2 linked regions of the Tribolium castaneum genome follow. The protein of the gene in region 2 purifies or fractionates together with the protein of the main gene of each other region. This does not show direct contact. Links are inferred from orthologs where the notes say so. Each region holds a gene or a part of one and is shown on either strand. Other genes may lie near its edges.

What was found.
Region 1: the proteins of IleRS (region 2) and LeuRS purify together in Homo sapiens (affinity purification with mass spectrometry; 7 studies listed by BioGRID and IntAct, counting the BioPlex papers as one, with this or other methods). This does not show direct contact. The link is inferred for Tribolium castaneum from reciprocal best matches to the Homo sapiens genes IARS1 and LARS1.

What each region holds. Positions count from the first base shown.
Region 1 is NC_087402.1:9,359,310-9,363,494, forward strand, and holds the start of LeuRS (leucine--tRNA ligase, cytoplasmic), read left to right. Parts: upstream 1-1,292; 5' UTR 1,293-1,412; coding exon 1,413-1,415; intron 1,416-1,465; coding exon 1,466-1,891; intron 1,892-1,939; coding exon 1,940-2,346; intron 2,347-2,400; coding exon 2,401-2,626; intron 2,627-4,185. Other genes in the region: YLP motif-containing protein 1, read right to left, coding at 1-13; Grx5 (glutaredoxin-related protein 5, mitochondrial), read left to right, coding at 611-1,048. UniProt on the Homo sapiens protein: Aminoacyl-tRNA synthetase that catalyzes the specific attachment of leucine to its cognate tRNA (tRNA(Leu)).
Region 2 is NC_087403.1:5,649,494-5,653,808, reverse strand, and holds the start of IleRS (isoleucine--tRNA ligase, cytoplasmic), read right to left. Parts: upstream 2,835-4,315; 5' UTR 2,717-2,834; coding exon 2,586-2,716; intron 2,540-2,585; coding exon 2,232-2,539; intron 2,186-2,231; coding exon 1,440-2,185; intron 1,395-1,439; coding exon 1-1,394. Other genes in the region: uncharacterized protein LOC662426, read right to left, coding at 3,668-4,089, 4,138-4,315. UniProt on the Homo sapiens protein: Catalyzes the specific attachment of an amino acid to its cognate tRNA in a 2 step reaction: the amino acid (AA) is first activated by ATP to form AA-AMP and then transferred to the acceptor end of the tRNA.

The DNA.
Region 1 (4,185 bases), on a different chromosome or scaffold from region 2:
GGGGCCAAGACATTGCCTAAAATGGGGACTCTCAACGCAAGGATATTTGAGAGTACGGTACTTCAAGAAAACTACTAACATCAACCTACCTTAAAGAATTATTTCGAAAACACTGCAAGTTTGCACTTTTGTAGCAATTAGTTCGATATCAAATAGTTTAAAAACGCGGTTTTAGTGTAAACAAAACGCAAAGTAAATAAGAAAAAACAATGATAAAAAATCGTGTCATGTTTGAATGGAGTACAAATAAAAACGTGATAGAATACGTTTCAAAGCATTTATGTTACAAAAAACGAACAATTAGCATAGTCTTACCTCAACTTATTCCAATAAATCTATTCTGTGGACGCTAAAACCATAAAAAACGTTGTTTTTGAAACAAAGAAAAACCAACACTGGTAGAGAACGCCAATTAGTTAGAAAAAAACTTGAGATACCTGAATTGCTGTTTGAAATATTGGCAAAAAACAATAATTTATTAATTTTGCGGCTCATTCCTGTCAACCTGTTTCTTGTCAAGCAATTAACAAGGTTGCCAACACGGAACGAAAATCTCTAGTTTCCACCCCCGATCTGTCTAAAAGTGAGGTTATACAAATTCAAACAAAAAATGAGTTTAAATTTTTTCACAAAGAGTAGAAACCTGTTACAAAATGCGACCACTCTCGCCAGGTTTTATAGCACAAAACCGGCCGAAGAAATTAAAAAAATGGTCAACAATAACAAAGTTGTGGTTTTTATGAAGGGGGTTCCCGAACAGCCCCGGTGTGGCTTTAGCAATGCGGTTGTGCAAATTTTACGAATGCATGGGGTGCAGTATGACGCCCATGATGTCCTGTCTGATGAGTCGCTACGGCAGGGGATTAAGGATTTTTCAAATTGGCCCACAATACCACAGGTTTTTATCAACGGCGAATTTGTGGGAGGCTGTGATATAATGCTGCAAATGCACCAGTCGGGGGATCTGATCGAGGAGTTGGAGAAGGTTGGCATCAAAAGTGCGCTTTTGTTGGCGAAGGAAAAGGAAGATGCAGAAAAGAAATCTTAAATTAAGTGGAAGACACGAATCTAGGGACTGATTGCTGTATATAATAATTAGAATGTTATTTAATTCGTTTTTGTGTAGTTCTGTTCATTAATAAAAAAGCTATTTAGAAAAAATTGATAATTCATTACATAACCTCAAATCAACACCCTTAACGTTTTTTCCCTATTTAATTAAGTTCATGCAGTTTTTACAACGTCTAGCATAAATTCTGATTAACGCGATAAAGTAGAAATTATCAATTGTGCCGACGATTGCATCATTTTTTATGGCTTTACCTGGCAAAAAGTGAGGTTAACTCGCCCATGTGTTATGTCAACGTGTTCGTTCAGTGATTTTTTAATTTAAACAAAAAAAGAAGCTAAAAATGGTAATTGTAACACACAGTAGATTAACAATCGTTTAATGATAATTCTATAGACTGCAGTTGAGCGAAAGGGCACGTTCAAGGTAGAATATCTACAAAAAATCGAGCGTGAGGTTCAGGACAGATGGAAGAAAGAGAAATTGCACGAAATCGACGCGCCCAAACAGCCCCGAAAATCAGAAGATGATAAGTTTTTGTGCACTTTCCCATTTCCATACATGAACGGCCGTTTACACCTTGGCCATACGTTCTCTCTATCAAAGGCTGAATTTTCCGTCAGGTATCACAAACTGAAGGGGAAAAATGCGTTGTTTCCCTTCGGTTTTCACTGCACCGGAATGCCGATTAAAGCATGTGCTGATAAATTAAAACGCGAGATGGAAATGTTCGGGTACCCCCCTAAATTCCCAGTCGAGGAAGAAATAAAAGTTGAGGAGAATGATGACGTTGTTATTAAAGATAAGAGTAAAGGAAAAAAGGTAAATCGTTGCTAATTCACGCCAAATAATTGACACTTTCTTAATTAGAGCAAAGCAGTGGCTAAAGCGGGCGCTGCCAAATACCAGTGGCAGATTATGTACAGTTTAGGGCTCCAGGACGAGGAAATAAAAAAATTTGCGGACGCTGATTACTGGCTGGATTATTTCCCGCCCCTTGCCGTCCAGGACTTGGACCGATTTGGGGTTTACGTCGACTGGAGACGCACCTTCATAACCACCGACGTGAACCCCTTTTTCGATTCCTTCGTCCGTTGGCAATACATTCGTTTGAAAGAACGCAACAAAATTAAATTCGGTAAACGTTACACGATTTATTCACCTCGCGATGGCCAGCCGTGTATGGACCATGATAGGTCCACCGGCGAAGGGGTGGGTCCCCAGGAGTATACTTTAATTAAAATGAAGTTATTACCTCCATATCCGGCGAAATTGAGGTACAACAACTCGTAAAAATAGAGAGTAGCTTTATTATGCTTTTTAATTTGCAGTAAACTCGCCAATAAACCGGTTTATCTAGTAGCGGCGACTTTAAGGCCCGAGACAATGTACGGACAGACTAATTGTTGGGTCAGGCCTGATATGAAATATGCCGCAGTTGCGGTCAAATCTGGCGAAATTTTTATTTGCACCGAGCGCTCAGCTCGGAATATGAGCTATCAAGGGTTTACGGAGGTTGATGGGAAATTTGAGATTGTTGCGCATTTGGTGGGACAGGTAACTTTCGATTTTTTAAATTTTTTCCTACAGTTTAGGTTTAATCTAATTTTTTTGTGAGTTCTCTAAGATCCTAATAGTAAATTAAGTAAAATGAAAAATTATTAAATGGAAAAAAGTTGGTGGTGAGTGTCAGCCATTTGTAATTTGTAAATTCATTGGCACTTCTTAGATATTTTTTGAAGAGTAAATATACACTCATTGAGTATACGAGACATATGGTGGTTTTTCTTTACTTAAATAAAGTGAAAATCACTAATACCGCTTACTTTCGTCCCAAAATGACATGAGATAAGTCAAAATTCCCCCTTTTAGGCATATATAACTGAATATTTCTGCCGTGCTAAGCAAGAACGTCGTAACTGACTTTTTTGTCAAATTTGAGATAACACAAAATCTGAGATCAATAGTGCAATAACTTTGATTCTAAATAACTTTAATAGATATTATCCAGAAATTAATAAGACGAAATACGTAAATAAAATTAACGTATGTGGGGTTTGTGCAATATTACTTAGCAAGAAAGTCGTAACTATAAAATGTATATGAAACCCACTCATTAATGAATCAAAAATTGTATATTTTCTAAAATTAATCAAAAACATTAGGTACCAAGTTTGGTTGATTACCAAGTCGAATTACAATTAAAAAAACAAAAAAAAGTGTATGACTTTGACGATTTTGTCAATTCGGTTGGAAGGACGGGTACAAGAACTAAAATTAAACAAATGAAAATTGAAAACTTTTTCAGATGGCAAGACTACAATTCACAGTACAAATTGATCAAAATTATTAATCGACCTTACCTAAGCGACATGGTTAACCTTACGTTTGAACGAGGAAAAAAAACCATGAAATATAAATGCAGTTTTGATAATGGCTTTATAGAGTTAAATTTTCTAACATCAATAACATCATATTCAAAAAACCCACTCAAAAACACACAACAAATGGCATAGATACAGAAAGAAAACAGGAACTCTTAAAAAAATTTAAAAATATTCTACCAGAAAACCGATTGATTTTTTGGCAAAATTTGCTTTTATTTCAAAAGTAGCGTACGCTAGGTGTAATTTCTTGGGTACATTTTTTTATAAATTTCCTGTTGTTATGTATTATTTCATTTGTTTAAAGCCGTTAATAAATATTTTTGTAGTTACGACTTTTTTACTTAGTTACTTTTACTTAATTAAAAAAATAAATAAAAATTTAACGTCGTATGTGGAATAACAGCGATTTGGCAAAATAATGGATATAATTGCATACATATTTCCTTTTTACAAATAAATTGTTAGGTTGACTTCAACATTCCATGTTACTAGCATTTAAAATAACAGTGCACTCTGAAAATGTAGAAAACAAGACATAACTCAAGATTCATATAAAATCAGTTATGACGTTTTTGCTTAGCACGGCAGATTTTGTTTTGGAACAGAAGCTTATCTGAACTATACTTAATTAAAAAAATAATAACTGATCTTAATCTCCTTCGTTTTTGAGCGTTTCTGAAATTGATTTCAGTCCTTTTGGCACAAACACACTTATTTTTACAACATAGA
Region 2 (4,315 bases):
ATATCAGAAATGTACTGAGGGTCCTGATGGACAATTATAACTTCCGGCAACGGGTACTTGATCGGTATTGTTTTTCGGTCGCGCAAGACTCGCCCCAATTCTATCACACTTTGCATTCTGGCAACGGCTCGCTCAATATCTTTGTTGATCAACGCATGATTCGGCTGCGGTAACATCAAATAGTGAACACTATCGGCCGAAGTCTTCATCAACTTCTTCAAATATTGGTACATGGTCTCGGCCAAGAAGGGTGAGAACGGTGCCATCATTTTCACAATGTTTAGGAGAACCTCGAACAGCGTCAGTAGGGCTGTTTTACAATCGTCGAACCCGCCCTCACCCTTGAGACGTTTCCGGTTCATCCGCACGTACCAATTGGTTAAGTAGTCAATAAACTTGGTCAGCCTGGGAATAACGTTGTACAAGTGGTAAAGTTGCATCTCCTTCCGGACGTACTCTAGGAGCGACTGAGTGAACGAAAGAATCCACTTGTCCATGATATTCTCAGGCGCGACACTATTTTCAGTGTAGTAGAACGCTTGATTGTTGTCTTGTACAAAACTCTCAATATTTTGTAACAAGAAACGGAACGCATTGTACCACGGCAGGAACACATCTTTAAGAATATCCCTAACCCCTTCCTCCTTAAACCGCAAGTTTTCGGCACGCACCACTGGCGAGTTAATCAAATAAAGCCTCAAAGCGTCCGCCCCATACTTCGAAACGATTTCCAACGGGTCCGGATAATTCTTTTTCCGCTTCGACATCTTTTGCCCATCGCTGGCCAACACAAGCCCGTTCGCGATCAAATTCTTGTACGGCGCTTTCCCGAACAAAGCCGTCGAGATGACTAAAAGCGTATAAAACCAGCCCCTGGTCTGGTCGATCCCTTCGGCGATAAAATCCGCCGGGAAATAGTCATCAAACTCTTTACTAAACTCAAACGGGTAGTGTTTCTGGGCGTAGGGCATAGAGCCCGACTCGAACCAACAATCAAAAACTTCAGGAACGCGTCTCAACGGGGGATTTCCAGGAATTTTCGAGGGAATTTCAAGATGATCGATGCTTTCCCGATGCAAATCGGTGATTTTCTGACCCGTTAGTTGCTCGAGTTCGGCGATACTGCCAACGCAGACGAACTCATTGCCGCTTGGCGACGCCCAGATCGGTATCGGGGTGCCGAAATACCGGTTGCGACTGATAGCCCAGTCCCGGGCGTCGCGCAGCCAGTTACCGAAACGCTTGTCTTTGACGAAATCGGGCACCCAGTAGGTGTCCGCACAGGCCTTTTGCAGCTCCTCGGTCATGTGTTCCACGCGGACGAACCACGACGGCACCGCTTTGTAGATCAAGGGGGTGTCGGAACGCCAACAGAAGGGGTAACTGTGCTTGATCTGAAACAACAATTAGCTAGTGCTTCCAAACGCTTTGGACATTACTTGAGTTTGGTGCACGAGCCGGCCGTTGGTTTTCAAAGCCGCGATGATTTTCTTGTCGGCGTCTTTGACATAAAGCCCTTCGAACTCCACCACAGGTTTGACGAACCGGCCGCTGGCGTCAACGGGACAGATGGGTTCCTGGTCCTTGGTTATAACCCCAGCGTTGAGACAGACGCGGAAATCGTCTTCCCCGAAGTACGGTGCCTGGTGCACGACACCCGTACCCGACTCAGACGTGACGTAGTCGTCTGTCAAGACCCGGAAAGCTTTGTCTTTCAAGTGGGCGAAGTAGGGGAAAATTGGTTCGTAGCGCAGCCCCTTCAATTCGCTTCCGGGGAATTTCCGGATTATTTTATAATCCCCAGCTGGGAAAATTGTTTCAATGCGAGTCTCTAGCATGATGTAGCGCTTGGTGGTGCTGATTTGTTCAAACAGTACGTATTCAAGCGATGGGTTTACGCACGCCGCTAGGTTACTAGGGAGGGTCCAAGGAGTCGTTGTCCAAACTAAAAGCGCAGCATTGTCCTTATGACCGATGATCGGGAGGCTCACGGTGACGGCGGGATCAACAACATCCTTGTAATTCTGACCCGACTCGAAGTTCGATAAGGGGGTATTACACGTCGTCGAGTACGGCATTACTTTATTGCCCTGATAAACTAATCCCTTTAAGTACAATTGCTTGAAAACCCACCAAACCGACTCCATGAAAGTCGGGTAAAGCGTCTTGTAGTCGTTTTTAAAATCTGGAATTATCAATCAAACGTTTGGCCTTTTCGTCCAAATGATTACCAATCCAGCGTCCAATGCGCCCAATGATCCTCTCCCACTCGTCGGCGTACCGCATGACAATCTTGCGGCACTCGGCGTTGTATTTGTCAATGCCCATCTTCATTACATCATCCGGGCCCTTAATATCAAAAGTCTTGTCAATCTCGTACTCCACGGGTAGCCCATGGCAGTCCCAGCCGAACCTCCTCTCCACGTGGAAGCCCTGCTGGTGGGCATAACGCGTGACCACGTCTTTGATGGTCCCCGCCAGAATGTGCCCATAATGGGGCAACCCGGTCGCAAACGGCGGGCCGTCATAGAACGAAAACCTACAAAATAACTAAGGCACGTTCACTCGAAACCATGCCAAGTTACCGTGGCTTTCCCTTCGACTGTTTCAAGCATGTTTGGAACACGTCGATTTCCGTCCAATATTTCAGGATTTTTTCTTCCTCGGATGGGAAATTTATGGTTTCCGGCACACGGGGAATTTCTTGAATAGGCATGGTGCGAGCTATTTCACTAATTCAATAAATTATATCACATATTATGCTCGTGCAACGACACAACCTCAATTTTTCGGATGATGAAATTCACTGCCAACTGGCTTGGGGGAAAACGAAAACACCAGGAGAAATATTTTAAATATTTCAGGAATTTTATAATAATAAGTGACAAAACAAAACTTGCTATTGTGCCATTGACTTGAATGTTTCAAAAAATTAATTCAATAAATTTTATTGATTCGTTTAAAAACAATTATTAAAAATTGTAAGCTAGGCAAGAGGCGAGTTGTTCGAATGGTCTCGTGCCACTCACAGTGCGTTACGTGCGCACCCGAAGTGGTACAGTCCCGCTTGTTCATATTTCACATTTTGTTATTTAATTAATTCGGCCTGGATTTGCATAAATATGTAGTGGAATAGAATTTACATAAAATAAACTTTTACTTTGTTTATTATCTTCATTCGTTTGAATAAACTTGAAAATGCGGGGTTTTACAAAAGAACGCACACTCTAATTTGAGCCTTTTAAATATTCCGATCCTTTCTAATTATAACTTTTATATTTTAACGCAGATTATTCAATAAATATTAGCTGCGTGATATGTAAATGGTTGTGAAATACGTGGCTGTTACGTGAATGTCCCATGAAACGAATTTTGTTCCACCCATCTAATCCCATGTTATAAAAACTGGTGCATATAAAAATCCGCCCATGTCCCTTCCATGAGCAAGCGTCGTATTTTTTCTAAATGATAGGTGTAACTGTAATAGACCATAACTCCGTTATTTGGTCTACTGATCTAGTGTTCATATCTCGATTAATAGATGGAATATTGAGCGTTTTAAGGAGAGAAAAGCAAAACAGCGTCGAAAAAACCGTTTTATTATTAACGAATTCAAACAAACAATATCTCCAAATAAATATTTATAAATTAGAAACAATATCACAGCTCATACGTCACTTTTTAAAATCGCTATATCAAAAATAACATCATTTATCGCGCCATTTATGGCCCGAGTATTAACAAGTAAACCTTTTTTTAGCCCCTTTATCTCTTGGTATGAAGTGCAGTTGAGTGAAAACACGTTATTTCTAACACTTATTATAACGTCGTGTGTTTCCCCAATTAACACCTTGACGTGCATGTCGAATTCTTTTGCAACATTTCCGTTTTCTAGAACCCAAGTCCAGAGAAGTACATTTTCGGAACTGTTCTCAATTTTGAGGAAAAACGTGTTTTGCTGAAGTTGGATAACGTAACACAAGTCTTGCTCTTCCAAAATTTTGCTAAACTCGATTGTTATTTGCGATTTGAAATAGTGTACTAACGGTCCGTCGTGGCTTAACTGGAAGTGCTCGATTACTTTTTTTCCTGTGGACATAAACTTAGCTAACTGCTTATTATTACGAAAATGCGAACCTTTAATTAGGGACGTACATCCCGGCGCGAATGGGCAATAAAAAGCGATGTCTTCACCGGCGTTGTGCAACGACTCAAAGGAGCCGTGACACGACACTGAGCGAAAATTTGGGTTGAGATAATTTTGGTTTTTCTCATTTCGGCTCATCCTGTTCACGGAGTTCGTCCGTGACACCAA